Drosophila melanogaster: one gene and its partners. The protein of the gene in region 1 interacts with the protein of each later gene in a pairwise test. Each region holds a gene or a part of one and is shown on either strand. Other genes may lie near its edges.

Region 1 (2,760 bases):
ACATCTGAACGCAGCAACCTTAGCTTCCTTCCAGTTGCACGTGCACCACCAGCACTGCCAACTACAAAAGCCAAGTTTCGATGCATTCACCTTAATAATCGTATTCATAATTGTCTAGACTCATCATTTCGCAGTCAGTTGCTTTTGGGCATCCAAGGCGCCTTTTGTTAAAGGCACTTCACCAGATTTCGATCACGTATCAATGGCAAACCTCGTTGGAGACAAATAACACAACGCGTGCTTGAGGAGATGCACCTGCAACATGGCATTAGCCATGTGTAGCCCTAGTTAAAAGTTTGGATTACCATTCTAAACTCATTCGAGATTTTTTCATCAGGAAGTTGAAAACAAAATCAGAACTCTTTACAACTGCATTGTTTGTGTTTGCCCATCTTGTGCATAAATGATTATCTACCTCAAATTATTCTTATTCTGCACTGTTTTTGTTTGAAGGTCGCTACGATAATAAAGATTAAGAGTAGTTATATATAGATATTGTGGTTTCGTTTGTATTGGCCCATTTCCAGTAGCACATTATAACGCAATCGAGCAGCTGAGCCCGGGTTTTGAGCCAGAATCGAATTGACAGCCGCTTGAAAGGGTTTTCCATATCAAATGGATATCTGTGCCAAGTCGCTGGCTGCGGTGACTGTTTTCATTTTTTTTATATGGCAAAGTAGCGAAGCCAAGGTTGCGTGAATTCATCACTTCACTTCACTCCTGGGGGCTGAGCTACTGCAATTTTGTAAATTGTTTCCATTCGGTTACCTCATGGCTAACGTGCATTTATATATCACTTTTGGATGGGCCCAGCTACTTTTGGGTATTTATTTTTTATTAAACACCCGAACATAGAATAATTCAAATTCGTGAGGCTATAAATTAAAAAGGGACACGGAACGAGCGAGTGGGTGGGCCCCAAAGATGGGGCCGCTGTTGTGAGTTGTATTCAACATTGTGTCATGCCGCGACTAGCGGCTCTACATGAGCACTCGTCTAGTCTGATTTGGCCGGGCAGAGATGTCTCTTGGTCGTCTTCGACTTGGATGATGTTGTCGCAGTCGCTAGTTTCATATGCATGCAATGGAGCGTGGCCTAATGCGATGTTGTTTGCGGCAGATGCATGTGCACGTTTGTCGGTTTAGAGGTGATAGTTCCCAGACTAAGGAGTTTCACCTTCTCCGGTAAAACCCACTTATATAGCTCGATTTGGTCACCAACCCCGAGTTGTTCTGTTTGCTTATAAATATTACCTGTTGCCTTTGCCCACCTGTCACATCAAATTAAATTGGAGCGAGAATTTATGCGAGCCCAACTGAGAAAACAAGGCGGATTTATTAGAGCAAGTCTAGACTTTAAATACCCTAACAAAAACCCTAACAGAACCTCAGTCGCATTTTTCAGGGACCCATTGAAAAATACATTATTTATAAAGCAAGTATAGATTTGTATTCTGTATAAGGTATATTATAAAACTAAGATACCCACAGTAAGTGTATCCTGTTGCCAACCTTATTGCGCAGCTGCGAACAGTGTTATTCCTTGGCTAACTAAATCTGAGCTGGAATATCCTGCTGCAATGAGCTCATTACCCAAGGAGCAACACAATGGAACAGGCGTACAGTACAGCTTCCCGACTGCGTGGGATTTGCGTTTGTGGATTGGCCATTTCGGTGTATTCACTGTATGTGAAAATGAAACTAAAGGAGGATGAGAACTATAGGCCAATGTGCGACGTTAACGATAATATAAGCTGCTCGCTGGTTTTTAAATCGGGGTAGGTAAGATTATAATATATACAATATAAATTTAATGAAATAATTTTCCATCAGCTATGGTGATGGCTTTGGTCTGGGTAACATAACCCAAGTAAATGCTCCCAACGGAGCCATCGGCTGTGCATTTTATATCCTGTACTTCTTGAGCTGTACGTAAATTTCTTAGTACAAACTAAACTAAATTTAATAAGCATTTGTTTTCAGCTTTCTTTAATCATCGTTGGCTGTGCCTGGTCCAATTGATAGTATGCACTTTGACATTACTTCTCTGCGTTTATCTGGGTTTCCTGCTGATTCTCGTGTTTTACGATTTCTGTTTGGTATGCGTGACCATCTATTTCATACACACATGGCTCTTTCAGGAAGTCCTAAGGCGATATAGACGCCTTTATATGTAAGATTTGTACAATGTTAAGACAAGCTAAGCAAAAATTATGAAGATAAATCCCTAAGATTAGTAGCTCAGTGAGTTATTTTAAACTGTCAACGTTTTATGGCGAATATCTCAATCTTCATCAGTCGTTCATTTTGTGACCCACACGTTTGGCTAAAAGCAGGATGCTGAGCCGGCGCATCTACCATTCCAACTCCCATGACCAAGCACGTAGTGGGGCAATTAATTCTGCACGTTCCCATTTGCCGGCGAAGGCTGTGATCTGTGATCCATAATCCGCGAATGGCGCTACTGCCAACAAAAGTTAAGTCGAGCTAGCCAAGTTAATACGGTGGGCGGACTGTGAAAACTCGACGCAATTAATTTCCCATAAGTTCGGGAATCCCTTTGTGTGGGCTGCTGTTCCGATTTGGTTGGGCTGAATAACTGAATCAATGGATGTGTGGAAATGTATACTGTGTGGATGCTGTATCGCATACCCTTGCAGATTTAAGTATCTATGATGAAAATAGTTTGAGATAATACTGATGATATTTAGCTATCTGAATCTTAACTTCATAGAATCTTCGTTTTAGCCACCTCACATAT
Region 2 (3,603 bases), on another chromosome or scaffold:
GGAGGAGATCGAGAGGAGCCGAAAGTGCGCCTACATCAATGCAGTGGTATACGAATGGCTAGTAAGGGCCAATATCAATCCCCAGCTGCGAGGTAGCATTACCCACGGAATGATCAAGGACAAGGCGGAGAATGCCAGACAAGTCATAGGGAGCACATCCTTTATAGCAGACAATCGCTGGTTAAACCGTTTCCGAGAGACTCATCTTCAAGGCTTTGCCCAAAAACTAGCCAGCAACCAGTTGAAGCCACTAGGATCCTCCCTGTGGATCCCGGACATCGTACAGGACCTAGCCCATCTCTTTCCGCCCGCGAGCGCTGAAAGAGTGGCCAAACTGGAGGAGATGCCCGAGCAGTACATGACCTACATGCAACAGTACGGAGAATACGAAGAAGATGATGACAGTATGGATGTAAAGGAGCAGAGCTATCAAGAGCAACAGCAGCAGCAACAGCAGCACTTTGCCCTCCAGCAGCAACATATGCAACAGCAGCAGCATCAAATGGGCCACCCATGGCCACCGTTTCCAGGACATCCCGGACATCCTACTCCACACCCCGGGTTCGCCAGCTTCAACGACTTTTATTTCGAGCGGCATCAACAGCAAATGCAACAGCAACTCCAGCAGCAGCAGCAGATGCAACAGTTTCCACCCACTATGCCACCTCAAAGGGAACCCTTTCAGCCCCAATTGCCGCCAAATGTTCCACCGCAGCGGGCCAGTCCCTTCCAGCCCGTTCAGTTGGCCAAGAGACCCAAAATGGAGTCACCCGATGATGACGAAGTGCAAGAGATTAACTCAGCGGTGAACTCACCACCATATCCGCTAGCAGAATCAACCTTAACCAGCAAGCACAGTCGAAGTTCCAGTCCCAACGAGCAGAACAACAATAATAGCGGGGGAAGAGACAGTGCCAGCAGCAAGGAGAACGCCCCCAAGGGAGGCGGAACAAGTGGCAAATCCACGCCTGCCCTTTCTTCCAAGGGAAAGGACTCACCTGCACCAGCTCGAGCTGCGTCCACCAAACCCGCCTCTGCTCCCGCCTCGCCAAAAAAGATCCCCAATGGATCCAGCTCCTCCGGCAGCCAAACCAATGGACACACATCCCCAGACCCCGAGGATAAGAAGGCTTTATGCATGCTGAAGGAGTTGGAAAGCTACCACCAGGCCTTGGAGTACCTAAAACCGCTGGAGGACTTCGTGCTCTTCAAGGAGAACTTTCGGGCTATTGGCTTGCTGTCCCAATTGGAACTGGTGCTCCGAAAAGGGGACAAGGCCACACTGGTCGAGGGTTAAGAGTTTTCTAATCGCGGACCAGGACAGCACAAAACATAAATGTGATGAACAGTGTACATATGTATCATGTAGTATTATTAAATCGTACTACCGCCAAAACAGTTGCTTAGGTTAACAAAGAATCTCCACTCGCATAAAGCTGAACCTAATTAATTAATTTATTAATTACTCTAAGTACAATAAAATGGAATTTATAAAATAATAGATATGTTTGTGTTTTATTTACGTATTTAAAACGGAAGTTGGTTTTATCTGAGTTCTTACGAGAATATTGTAGTCCTTGAAGTTGGCAGTGTTTTTTACATGAGTATGGCAACGCTGACTCGAAATCAGAGTGACCACGACTTAAAAGTATTTATAGATTGCTGTATTACTGTTCACCTCATGACTCGGCCACACTTGGACAATGTTTACTTCTTTTCTTCGATAAATCTGTAATTTTCGCGAACTAAAACAGAACAAATACCATAAACAACTGAATAAGGTAGAATAAAAACCGCACAAATGTCGCTTCTGGAGCAATACGAACAGCAATACGCCACGTTAATAGCAGAAATAACGGCCCATATTGGACGGCTGCAGCAGCAAAACAACAACAGTGAGTGGGATGATTGTCCATGGATTGTACATTATGGTGATTACCATTTGTCCATTTACTCCAGGCGAGCGCCATGATTTGTGCAGCAAGATCGACTCCAGTTTGCCCGAGGCTCAGGAATTGCTGGAGCAGATGGGTCTGGAGGTGAGGGAGCTAAATCCTGGACTGCGGAGCAGCTTCAACGGAAAGCTGCAGGTGGCCCAGGCAGAACTGAAACGGCTGCAGGCGGAGTACAGGTTGACCAAGGACAAACAGCGCTCCCAAGCCAACACATTCACCACTCTGGACTTGGGTGACAGCTATGAGGATGTGTCCATAAGTACAGATCAACGCCAACGCCTCTTGGACAACTCGGAAAGGATTGAACGGACGGGCAACAGGTTAACCGAAGGGTACAGAGTGGCCTTGGAGACGGAGCAACTGGGCGCCCAGGTCCTAAATGATCTGCACCACCAAAGGGAAACTCTACAGGGAGCCAGGGCTCGACTTCGAGAAACCAATGCCGAGCTGGGAAGAGCTTCTCGCACTCTGAATACCATGATGTTAAGAGCCCTGCGGGAGAAGGTGGTCTTGTATGGAGTGGGTGTCTGCTTTGTGGTGGCCGTGGGCGTCAGTCTCTATCTGACCTTCGCACCCAGTTCAAGCAGCACCGCCTCGTCGTAGTAATTTTAGCTAGCAAACCAATAGCCAATGATCTTAGCCCAAATTCAAATGTTATAGAAGCCTGTCCATTCCAATTTCGTGAGTTGATTATTTATTGTTTAGTATATTTTATTTTTACGAGATATTCTGTGGAAGAAAGCTGCAGATTACGCACTAATCTATATAAGATAGGATGGAGTATTACGTGCAATAAGAGTCGAAGCTTAGAGTAGTTATCTGCGGTCAATCGATGTCTATATATTTTGTTGTCCTTTTACCTTTAAGATTAAATTGACCTTCTTGTTAATCGATGGAATTCCTATTACTTTTTAATTCTTACCGCAGATTTCTAACCTATCACTCGCGTATCCGCCATCCTAGCTTACGTGTACAAAGTTTAAGTGGTTAATGTTTGGCGCCTGGTTAATAGAAACTAATCCTACTCTATGACTCGTGTTCGCGTTCGGGACGTATTTTTCGTAAAAATTCGAATTGAACATGTACGTATCTAAAAATCATAACATAGCCGAAAGCTATCAATAAATAAAGGAAACAGTAAAAATGCATCTCTGCGTGAGCATTGAGCCTGGCGGGAATAAGGGTTCCTAGCCGAACTCAATGTTCCCCAACTGCTAGCAGCCGCAGGAGGAGGCGTCCTCCTCGTTGGTCGCCGCGCCGCTGCTCGCAGTGTCCACCTGGAAGCTCTTGTGCTCCAGTGCCTGCAGTTCCATTTTGGAGCGATTGGCGTGGACCAGTTGCCTAGAGATGTCACGGAACATCTCCTCCACACCGGCGCCGCTGCGACAGGAGGTCTTGTACGTGGCACTGATCAGTGAGTGGCACTGCTCGCAGAAGGCCTCCACTTCCTCATCGCTGACCTCCGGCTCCCTGCCATCCAGATCGCTCTTATTGCCACAGATGAAGATCTTGGCATTCTCTGCATAGGTCACAATGTCCAGCAAGTGCTGCGACAGCGAGTGGAACGAAGCGGCGTTGTCCAAAGCAAAGACCAGGATGGCTCCCTCGGCGAACTTGTAGTACGAGGATGTGACCGAGGCCACACGCT
Region 3 (2,974 bases), on another chromosome or scaffold:
AAACCAATCTATAAAAAAAAGATAGGAACTGTCTCTTGGAGTTGTCCTTGAAAACTCTGAAAAATAACACTACTGTCATAAATCCATAAACAGTTTCATTTTGGTGAAACCAGATGTCACCCGCATTTATTTAGTATAGTTACTATAACTGTATCAACCCGCAGAAAATTCGGAAGACGATGTTGAGATCTTCAGGAAGAAGGATAGCGATGTGCTCAAGGACATCCACTCGATCGGCGTGCAGACGGAACAGCCGCGCCGGCGCATTAGAGTTTGTCCTGTGGACTTTGCCCCGGCTTTGGCACCCTGCGAATCGACACGTCACACGATATTCATCGATGCCGTTTCCATGCAGATTCCAAATGCACTAGGTCGACCACCGCTGGCCGATCGTTTTTGCTATATGCTAACCGATTTCGCTTCGGCACTATATTGTAGTCTCGCCATCATGTGTTGTTGCACACCCAATATGTTGAGATAAATTAGAATGCGCAATGCTGGTTGGAACTCTGTTCTGCTAATTCTGTTTACTGCATTTTTACTCATACAATCACGTGCAAAACGAATCATTCTTATTACAATTATTTGGACGGCATGCCGACATTGGTCTGCAAGTTGCCATAAAAGTGGCTTAGTAAGAGGTAAAGGCACCACAGGCACAGGACAATGAAGAGTGCCACTGTTAAATTCTCGCCGATTATAGAGGCGAATGCGACAATCGTATCCGCCGTCTGCACAAGGACCTGCCACATCCTTTGGTGCAGTGGGGGTCTTTGCATAGCCGTGGCCGATGTCACCGACTCCACCTCGATGTGGATCGTGTGCTGCTGGATCTTGCTGGGCTTGTCCGTTTCGAGATCGATACCACCGCCGCGTACAGCCGCCAGCTTCGCCTCCAAATCCTTGCTATTCATATTACTCTCGTCCGCTGCTGTCCACGAAGTCTGACTACTCACCTCGCAGGTGGGCTTGATTGTGACATCCGATAGCCGCGAAAGACTCGATGATCTATGCTCCACGATTTGATCTTCTGTTAAGATATCAAAGGCTGTTAGCCCTTCAATAAGAACGGAATTATACATTTATCTTACCTTGCTTAATAGCTAACTCTTCGGATCGGAATCGCTTCATGCGGCTTGTTTGTCCATATTCACTCTTTGGGAGCTTGATGTATTCCTCAAACAAATTGCACTTGCTGATCTGCCTGTGGGTTAGTTGGTCCCTTGGAATCTGAACATCTTTGTGCTCAGCATTCCAGCCAATAGATGGCGCTCTGATGCTATCATCCACTCTTTTTTCTGCTTGTGCAGTTATAGAGATATCGTCTCCAGAAGTGTCACTTTTTGAACTAAGCATGTAGAGTTCTTCTAGTCGCTCCTTGCCTTTGTGATTCAATATGTTTTTCGTGTGAAAATCATGAGTGTGAGTTAAATTTATTTTCTACCATTTCTGTCATTTAAAATCAGTCTGGCTAAAAATTCGTAGCAAAGGGTTGCTTTATCATCTGCCTCAAACGACCATGGCAGACCGGCAATTGAGCCTCGTTGGCCAGTGGATAATTTTTGCGCTAAATTAAGCAATTTCCTTTCCTGTCTGGCCGGGCAAAACCAGAAGCTGCTGTCCATCGACACTTCAGGGTCGACTGTCGTCTATGGATTTTCCTGTCTAATATGACAATTATGACGGTCTACTGCACTAATGTTATTTTGCATAAGTGCATTTTAGGAACCAAAGCAAAATATAGGGTAGCTCCTTAACTGAGATTTCACTTGCCTGGTGAATTTACTTTCAAAAGACTTTCAAAAAAAGAACCGTCTAAATATGTAATTATTTTAATAATTATTGGAAGTTGCAAGGTCAAAAACATTTACCCCGAAATTTAAGATCAAACAACTACTTTAATATACCAACACAATAAATAAAATAAGATAAAAACTTTTGCTTCAGGCCACACATAAACTGCCATTTTATTATCTGATATATTTTTTTGTGCACATTCGCTTTAGATCAAAATTCATCCCCCAGATTTAAACCACAATTTCCGTTCAATGGCAAAAAGCTGTCTCCGTATATTTCATAATTTGTTCGAGGGAAACTTTTCGATGAAACTCTATTAAAGCAGAGGGGACATAATAAATTCATGGAATATCTCGACTTGTCCGGGTGCTACGTACATACATGTGGCATGTGGCAAGCAAGTACGCACATTTGCAGTGTGGAAATCAAAATCCAAGGGGCTTGGATGTGGAACTTTTCTCGTTGCTGTCCTATAGTAGAGTAAGTCCTTTGGTGTCCAGTGCGCACCTGCTACTCAGTGGTCGTGTTTTTTATTCGTTGGCTTGTTGAGGGAACAGAGGTGGAAGGAATGGTTCTTTTGGTCCGGCCATTGTTATCATTTAAAAGGCTTAAGTGCGCCGAAGATTTATATTTATATATATTTGAAAGAAGGGGAATGAAACGACAGCAGACGCTGCGACGAGAAAATAAGATAAACGTACACGTTATTGATTTTCCACTCGCATGTGCCGGCCAGTGTGTTTGCCTTTGGATGATGCTGTTGCCATGGACTGCATCTCCCTGCTTTGCCGCTGCTTCCGCTTTTCCCCCTTTGTGGCGCAGTTTTGTCGCCTGTCCAAAAAATTGAATTCAGGGCGCGGGAAGATGGGGGGCATGGTGTTTACGTGGGCTGTGTGGACTGTGGGTGCTACGGAGTGGGCTTAACTGGGCAGCCAACGCCTGCGCTTGATTCATCTGCCAGTTGATTGGTGTTTGTGCGAAAGTGTTGAAGCAGAACAACTGGGATTGAGTGGCCACCATCCTTTATCCGCCAGCTCGCAGCTCCCAATTCGCCCCTTCGGCGGCATGATGTTAAGCTTTATTTGTGTTGCCTACTTTGAGGCGGCACCGAGGGGCACGCAAATCGATCGTGCTGTCCGTCTCATATAATGGATTTAAACAAAGCCAATTTCGTGAA

The links.
Region 2: the proteins of Vkor (region 1) and Vti1a interact in a two-hybrid assay, tested with the Drosophila melanogaster proteins (one large-scale study listed by BioGRID).
Region 3: the proteins of Vkor (region 1) and CG16852 interact in a two-hybrid assay, tested with the Drosophila melanogaster proteins (one large-scale study listed by BioGRID).

What each region holds. Positions count from the first base shown.
Region 1 is NT_033778.4:16,776,758-16,779,517, forward strand, and holds Vkor (Vitamin-K epoxide reductase), read left to right. Parts: upstream 1-1,607; coding exon 1,608-1,777; intron 1,778-1,832; coding exon 1,833-1,927; intron 1,928-1,982; coding exon 1,983-2,176; 3' UTR 2,177-2,237; downstream 2,238-2,760.
Region 2 is NT_037436.4:690,977-694,579, reverse strand, and holds Vti1a (vesicle transport through interaction with t-SNAREs 1a), read left to right. Parts: upstream 1-1,660; 5' UTR 1,661-1,801; coding exon 1,802-1,895; intron 1,896-1,959; coding exon 1,960-2,558; 3' UTR 2,559-3,094; downstream 3,095-3,603. Other genes in the region: CG13894 (uncharacterized protein), read left to right, coding at 1-1,297; RabX6, read right to left, coding at 3,170-3,603.
Region 3 is NT_033779.5:13,539,182-13,542,155, reverse strand, and holds CG16852 (uncharacterized protein), read right to left. Parts: upstream 1,406-2,974; 5' UTR 1,357-1,405; coding exon 1,092-1,356; intron 1,031-1,091; coding exon 582-1,030; 3' UTR 510-581; downstream 1-509. Other genes in the region: CG9263 (uncharacterized protein), read left to right, coding at 165-481.